Nothobranchius furzeri: one gene and its partner. The main gene of each other region encodes a partner of the protein of the gene in region 2 in a complex. Links are inferred from orthologs where the notes say so. Each region holds a gene or a part of one and is shown on either strand. Other genes may lie near its edges.

Region 1 (3,285 bases), on a different chromosome or scaffold from region 2:
CAGAATTTTATTTAGACGTAACAGATTTTCTGAGTGATGATTAAAAACGCGACGATGGGAGGCGTCCTCCTGTTTAAAGTGAAAATAAAACTCTAATCTGACGCCAGTGACGTGGGATTACGTCAATTAGGAATCAGACTTTTCTAATGACTGAAGGATTTTTTGTGGTGAAATTTAAAACGGCACAAAAAAGATGAACTGTTTTTACAAACCAAGATGGCGACGTGCCCCCCTGACTTCACACTGCCACATGGGGGGGGGGGGGGGGGGGTAAATCTCATGCTCAAAATATGGAAGTGAGGTTATTTTTAAACCAGTCGAGGTAAGGATTATTGTCGGTGTGAATATGTTGTTCTATGGTGAACGGTGTCTGTTGAGTGGTGTTTAAAAGTATTTTTTATATTCTCATTTTGTAACTTTTTCTGTTATGAGCCATGAGATGTGTGTGGGGAAACTGCTGTGGGATGATCTAATAAAAGAAATATGCAATGACCTTTGACCTCTGTCACTGAGCCAACAGTTGGTTAACACTGCCACCGAATAGTAAAGCAAAGTACCTCCCAGAGAAAATTACTCAACAGTTTTATTGTTGCCTAGTAACAGAAAAGTTGTCATCACTAAGTAGAAGAGAGCGGTGCTGCTGGTCCGCTTCATCGGCTCGTAGCGCTCCCTGACGTGCTGGATGTGGTACCAGTGATGGTCATTTTCTTCAGTGTCCTGTTCAGCTGTAGAAAGAAGATTTATTCAATTCAACCAGAACAAACCAGCAGATAGTGTGATAAAAACCACTACTGACCTCTTCAAACTTGTGGATCTGTCTGATGAAAAAGTCTCCGTAGCGCCGAGCCACTTTAGTGTCAGCGATGTGGATCATGTCCTGTAGGGAGACGCGTTTTAGACGCAGCGTGGATAAAGAAAAGCTGATTTCTACGTTTCTGCATGTATTACAAATGAATCAGATCTAAATTTATATTTAAAATCTGTTTCTTGTTTGTGTCTCTATGTACAAACGGGGGAAAAAACATTTCTAATGTAGTTCATTGGTTAATGGCTATAGCGCCTTCATGGGTTTCCACAGCCCCCCAAAGCGCTTCATAACATAATCACCCATTCACATGCTGGTAGGGAGGAGCTACAATGTAGCCACGGAAGCCATCGGCCCCTCCGACCAACACCGGCAGGCAAGGTGGGTTAAGTGTCTTGCCCAAGGACACAACAGCAGAAACCTCTCTCCGGAGCCGGCATTGAACTAGCAAGCTTTATTTCCTGTTTTTAACCAAATATGGTTTTGTCTTAATTAAGATGTTATTTCTTAGCTTAAAACTCAAAAGTTTCACATTTTCATCATAACTTCATAAACAGGGCCTTCGCCTCTTGACAGCAGAAGCAACACAAGGTGCACTAGAGGTTATATTTATACCTAGAGATGAAACGTAATGTGGTTTGATATCTAGTCTGTACAATCTGGATGCATTTAAGCTCCGAACAGAAACCTTTCAGAGACAAACGAAACCAAATCCTTCAAATCCTCCCAACTCTTCTGCATTTCTCCAGTAAACTAGAATACAGAAAACAAAACTGCTCTTCATCACCTTGTCGATGTAAAAGTCGACTTCAGAGGCGGACTGGAACTCTCCATCCAGCGCCGAGATGCCGCTGGTCCACACCAAGTTCTTCATCTTGTGTTTGAAGACGAGCAGCTGGATCCGGAACTCCTGCTCCGTCATGTCGAGGAATCCTGCCAGCTTGGCCACAGGCATGGTGGTGTAGAGCTTCAGAAAGCTGAAAGGACGAGATGAGGTTAGGTACCGGACCACAAGGACCACTCCTCTGAACGCAGTCGGTTTGTACCTTCGGATGGTGGAGAGTTGGGCCTGCTGCTGCACCTCCTCAGCGAAGACCTTCCGCTGCTGCTCGAACGGCTCTTTGTGGTAGTTGGGGTGGACATTGTCGTAGTTCGGGACCACAGGTGACAAGAACTTGGGACAGGCGAAGCTGAAGAGCTCTTCAAACACTTGCAGGTCTCTTGAGACAGAGAAGGGGACAAATGGTTGATTCTGCTGCGATAATGTTGATCTAGCATCTTAGAAAAGCAGTTTTACTGTAAATAAACGAACGAACGTGATAGTTTCCTCACCCTTTCTGCATACGAAGCATCTTGTCTCCGTACTTCTCCCTCACCTGGGTGTGGATGCTCTCATCGATACGCATGGGGTACATGGTGAGAGCGATGGCCAGGAGGCCATGCATCTGCTCGTTTTGTTTGTTGATCTAAAAATGTGGGAAAATACCTTCTGTTGGTGTATTTTTTACATTTAAAAAGAACTCAATGACCAAAAGTTTCAGCATCTTCTGATACCAACTCAGCCCCTTAGAGGTAAGTGAATGGGGCGAGTGAAAAGAAATGAACACATAGCTGGAGAGAGAGGCAAAATGATAGATTAAGGTCATTTTTTTGGGAATACTGTAATATTCTCTAATTTTGGAAAGTTTTGTATTTTCAGAGGGAAAAAGTGTCAAATTTACAAGAAGGACGTCTGGATAAGAATTTTACTTCTTCCTAAGGCAGAGGCTCCAACCTGGAGGGTCACTTCGGTTTAATCTGGGTTTATGAGCAGTGTTGCCAACTGTTTTTGACTGAAAGAAGCTGAAGTTCCCCCCACACGTCGCTAGATGTCGCCAGATGACGCCACATGCTAATTTGCATATGACGTTATCTGGTTTGCGTGATGACGTCACCGGTCTGGTAGAGTAAATCAAATAAAACCCGTGTGATTTTATTAAAAAAAATTATTGAATTTATTTTTTAATATTTTATTTACATTAAAAAAACCATAGAATACAAAACAGCAGCCTTTAAAACATCAAGGAAAGATGGCACAAAATAAATGGAAGGAATATTTATATTTTGTCTGAAGAGAAGGGAACTCTTAAACACAAAAATGTGAAATTGATAGGAATGTATGTATGATTGAATTAAAATGAATTTTCTCTTGTAGTTTTCAAGCGCCTTGAGATGTATTCTTCTGTCGTGATTCAGTGCTATATATTGACCTAAAAGATAATACAGTAATCCCTCGCTACTTCGCGGTTCGTTCATCGCGGATTCGCTGCTTCGCGGATTTTTTCTTTGGAGCATTTTTCAGGGGGAATTCGCAGATTTGCGGTATTTTTCACTGATTCGTGGTATTTTTCACTGATTCGCGGTATTTTTCACTGATTTGCGGTATTTTTCTATGCGAAATATCAAGAAATTCTTGTTTTTTTTTCATCAATTTCATCATA
Region 2 (4,578 bases):
ATCAGCGAAATTCCTCGCTGTCGCTTTTATTACCGAACACACGGGAGGCGACCCGCGGCAGCGGCAAAGCCGTCTACGCGTTCTGTTCCATGGTGAAATGGAAACTTCCGTTGTTTTGCTTGGCTGTGTCAGGTTGGAGGGAATTAAGGTTATTTAAGCGGTTCAGAGTTAATAAAGCGCTAGATATGATGTTTCACAAGGTGCTGCTAGAGTTATGTGAAATCTTACTTTTGATTTTACTATAAAATATAATAATAATCAACTTCTCCTCCATGTTTGCTCGGAGGTGTAGGAGCATCCTGTCTGCTCATTGGTCAGTGAATGAAACCTCCGTTGATTGGTCCTCGTCCGAGCGACAGCGATGAAAAGTTGAAAATATTTCAACTTTCTGGGATCGCGTCGCTGGGTCGCCTGTGCACGACACGTGCACGAGCACAAAATTTCACACGCACGTTTTTCGCATTTGGCTTAGTAGGAGGGAGACCCGATTATCGCTTTGTCACGCACGTCTGATTGAACATGAATGGAGAGGCGATGTCACCTCCCGTGTGTCGAGCCCATGAGGCCGAGCCCGGCCATCCCGTGGAGAAAACTCATTTCAACCGCTTGTATCCGCCATCTTGTTCTTTCCGTCTTTACCCAAAGCTCATGACCAAAGGTGAGGACTGGGCGGTAAATCGAGAGCCTTGCTGGTCACGAACCAGAAAACAACTCTAGTTGTTTTTGACTTATTTGTATTCCTCCGAAATAAAAACAAAATTACACAATAATCCTTTACTGAATTTGACCATTCTGTTTTTATTAAGTGTCAAAATCAATTCAACTGTTTCTCCAGATGAAGGCTGGTTTGGTCACAGAAGGAAGCTCCACATTTCAGTTCTCTTCATCTGAAACAAGAAATCAATAAATCAGGTTGAATATGGAGATGCTTTCAATGTAAACAAAAACACCATCAGATCTCGTTTTAAAGCTGATGTACTGCACTAAGGGTCAGAGGGAAATAGTTTCCATTCTCCGTATGCGTGTGCTGCACATGTGGTAGACAACAAAGTAGATAGATGGTATTTTTATCCAGAAACCTGAAAGCCTCTGAAGTCACGAAAATAACTTCTTCTATAAAGAATCACATTTCAAAAGTGCCAACGGTTCTATTGTGGCCATCTTTGCTCTGGAAAGTGTACATCAGCATGATTCAGGTCCTTCTTTTGAAAAGATTTTAGTTTTCTCTTCATCTCTCAGGTCACTTCACTCTAAACGGTTTTCAAAAACCAAGTTTAAAATAACAGACCTTCCTCCTCCTCATCCTCTTCATCCTCCTCTTCCTCCTCCTCCTCATCAGAGCTGAAGGTACCTTCAGGCAGGCTGTACACTCGAATCACTTGCTGTTTAGTGGAACCAGAGTGAGAACGAGTCAGTACTTGTCAGCTGGACCTCCGTCTTTGGTCCTCTGGGACTCGTTTCCACTCACCTTGTTGGGGTCCTTCAGGATCAGGTACTTGCCCTCATCCAGCTTGCGGCAGATGTCGATGACGCAGCGGAGGATCCCCCAGGCGTTCTCCATGCTGAGGTTGATCTGGCTGGCAAACTCGTTGGGTTTGAACTGCTGGGTTCCCAGGATGACGTGACGAGAAGAATCCTTCACGTGGTACCGAGACACGTACCTGAGGAGCACACGTGGTGGAAGTCAGGTCCAGCCTGCTTAATGACCATCATCCATTAGCTCCCATCACAGGGTCGGCATACTCACCCCAGTTTCAGATACTCCGACCCGGCCAGCATGGCACAACAGGTCCAGCGGGCCAGTTTGTAGCTGTTGTTCTTCAGCTCGGTGGCCAGAACGGCTCCCCGCTGAGAGTCCAACTTCTGGCGCCAATCCACTCCATTACAATACTGAAGATGAAACAGAGATGAGGAATGGATCAACAACTCCCCGTCAGAACCGGGCTGCTGCACATGAACCAACAACATTATAGAGATGACTGGTTTCAGCAATAAGAATAATTTATGTTAATTAGATATCTGAATCTGTAAATTATTATTTAGGAAAATGTGAACTTTTGGACCGTCCCACTGATCAGGAAGACCAAGAAGGCGGTGGTTGTCAGAAGTCAGCCGGAGGGTTTGTAAACATGAATTCTGACCTCTTATAGACTTGATAGATTAGTTTAAGTTAGGGCTGCTCAATTAATCGAATTTTAATCACGATTACGATCTGAGTTTTGAACGTTTATAAAAAACAAAACAAGCCGATTATTTGCTCCTCCCGCTTGCGCTGCCCTGAGTTACAAATGAAGCGCTCCTCCCACAGTGTTGCCAATTTAGTGACTTTGACGCTATTTCTAACAGCTTTTCAGACCCCCTTCTTGACTTTTTAAATCTTAAAAGTACCTAGCGACCACCTCAGAAACATCTCTGGTAACCCTTAGCTACTTTCTGGATAACTGTCGTCGACATTTCCTGCAGGTTAGCTAAACACTCCGCCTGCGCGTCCGGACCGTTCTTCAGGACATTAGGAAAGGGAATGATGTAGTGATGTGTCAGTCGCTTAAGAAACTGCTCTCGGAGCCGGCTCCTTGTTGGATTAACCAGAGTGAGTGACACACACACCGCACCTGCGGACTCCTGAGCCACTAAAAACGGCTAAATGTGCGCGTGCTAAACACACGTGCAGCTTGCCCCGGATTGCTGTGAGACCGGGGTGGGGGGTGGGGGGTGCAGCTGTGGTTGAGACAATTATTACATTAACTGATGGACTTGTAAATAAATAGTTTATAAATAAGGTAGAAATAAGTTCCTCACGCTGATAACTAATCTCTCTGAGGACACGGTGCTAGTGCACTCTCCTACAGCACTTTGACACGACTAAATAAATATTATGCAACATTTTGTGAACATCAATTTATTTGCATTTATTTGTTATAAATGCCACTGTATAATTCTTGCTGTCAGTATTTGCAAGATATTGGTATTTGGGTCTGTACTGGTTAGACTTACATGAGTTAAACCAAGGTCTACAGCCCTTGGGTCATAGACTATGAGCTATAAGTATATTGGTCTTTTTATACTGGGAATCAGGAGTTACTTTAGTGATCATCTTGTTTCTTATTCATTGTTGTCCTGATTGTGGCCTGAGCAATTTTGTGACTGAATAAAAACAAATAAAATCAACATAAATTGAAAAATCGTCTTAAATAATCGTGATCTCAATTTCAGTCACCATAATCGTGATTATTATTTTTGCCATAATCGAGCAGCCCTAGTTTAAGTTAGCCTTTATTTAGGCTGAAGACAAGAAAAGTTACAGAAAGATTTCGTTTGCAGGAAATAAGAACATGGAACATGTGTTTTAAGAACTGAAGCGGTCCAAAAGGAAACCAACCGCCTGTTGCCACCCACAGCCTCCTGTTGGCCGCAGCACCCAGAGCCAGCTGCTGCTGTCTTACTGGACATGCTTTTGTTCCCTTCTCTGAAACCAGTAACGGTGTCTCCTACCCTGGAGTCCCACTCGTTCAGGGTCTTGACGTTGATGAAGGACACCTCTCCATTCGCTCCAGTCATCACTCCGTCATGTTCACAGCGGATGATCAGGTCGATGTCATCCCCGAGCTTCCAGTGACGGTACCTGAATCCCCAAAAAGCACCAGTCAGTCAGAAGATCCGGTTATCACGTCCCACAGATGGAGCCAACACCAGAACCCAGGACCTACCTGTAGGCCACAGACGCCACCTCGCTCTTGTCCATGTCTTCCTCCACAAATGGGTTAGGGTTTGGGAACTTGTACCGTTCTCCTCCCTGAACACAGCTGAACGTTAGAGTGTGTGTGTGAGTGTGTGTGTTTGGATCTGTGTGTGATGGTCTCACCACACGTAAACACTGCTGGCTGAAGTTGTGGTTGATGTAGGTGGCCTCCATCGCCAGGTTACGAGGAGAGTTAAAGGAGTTTCCCTCATCTTGAGGAGGCTCGTTGGCGGTTTCACTCACAGTTAGCAAATCTGTTCAAATAATTCAGGAAAACAACCTAAAATAAATCGTTCTGCTTGCATTAATCGGAGGTTAAACGCAGACGTGATCGCGTTTTGTTTGATGCCTTTGGCTGCAACTGCAGATGGAACCAGAGCTCCTCCGTTTTCAGGCAGGTTCGGCGAACTCCCCAAAACTCACCAAAGTCAGAGTTGTCCCTCTTGTCAAAGAAGAGCTTGTTGCCGACTCTCTGCACGATGATGTCCCAGGAGTTGACGGAGCGTGTGCAGCACATCAATGTGGCCAAGATAGCGTCTGTAGCAAACACGTTGCCCTGAGTCTTCGCCAGCTGGAGGAAGGCAGAACCAGATTAGAACTCCACCCAGAAAACATTCAGAGCCTCTGGAGGAGCTGGACCGGTGAGGAGCCACCAACCTTCCGGATGACCGGATCATCGGTGGTGGTGACGGTGTGGAAAATCCTCTTGATGCTCTTCAGCTGCTTCTCGTTGCGGGTGGTGATCCGATCGAACGCTTTATCGTAGTACTCCAACGCACCACAGCACTCGCTGCAGGAGGACCAGAACTTTACAGATGTACAGATTCAACCCAAACACA

What was found.
Region 1: eif3d (region 2) and eif3s6ip share a complex: the UniProt entries of both Homo sapiens proteins name them as parts of the eukaryotic translation initiation factor 3 (eIF-3) complex. The link is inferred for Nothobranchius furzeri from reciprocal best matches to the Homo sapiens genes EIF3D and EIF3L.

Annotation. Positions count from the first base shown.
Region 1 is NC_091752.1:5,210,742-5,214,026, forward strand, and holds the end of eif3s6ip (eukaryotic translation initiation factor 3 subunit L), read right to left. Parts: intron 2,272-3,285; coding exon 2,138-2,271; intron 2,026-2,137; coding exon 1,852-2,025; intron 1,783-1,851; coding exon 1,593-1,782; intron 878-1,592; coding exon 797-877; intron 726-796; coding exon 651-725; 3' UTR 566-650; downstream 1-565. UniProt on the Homo sapiens protein: Component of the eukaryotic translation initiation factor 3 (eIF-3) complex, which is required for several steps in the initiation of protein synthesis.
Region 2 is NC_091745.1:29,243,339-29,247,916, reverse strand, and holds the end of eif3d (eukaryotic translation initiation factor 3 subunit D), read right to left. Parts: intron 4,530-4,578; coding exon 4,397-4,529; intron 4,311-4,396; coding exon 4,163-4,310; intron 3,994-4,162; coding exon 3,863-3,993; intron 3,794-3,862; coding exon 3,708-3,793; intron 3,623-3,707; coding exon 3,493-3,622; intron 1,891-3,492; coding exon 1,748-1,890; intron 1,662-1,747; coding exon 1,469-1,661; intron 1,383-1,468; coding exon 1,289-1,382; intron 888-1,288; coding exon 874-887; 3' UTR 771-873; downstream 1-770. UniProt on the Homo sapiens protein: mRNA cap-binding component of the eukaryotic translation initiation factor 3 (eIF-3) complex, a complex required for several steps in the initiation of protein synthesis of a specialized repertoire of mRNAs.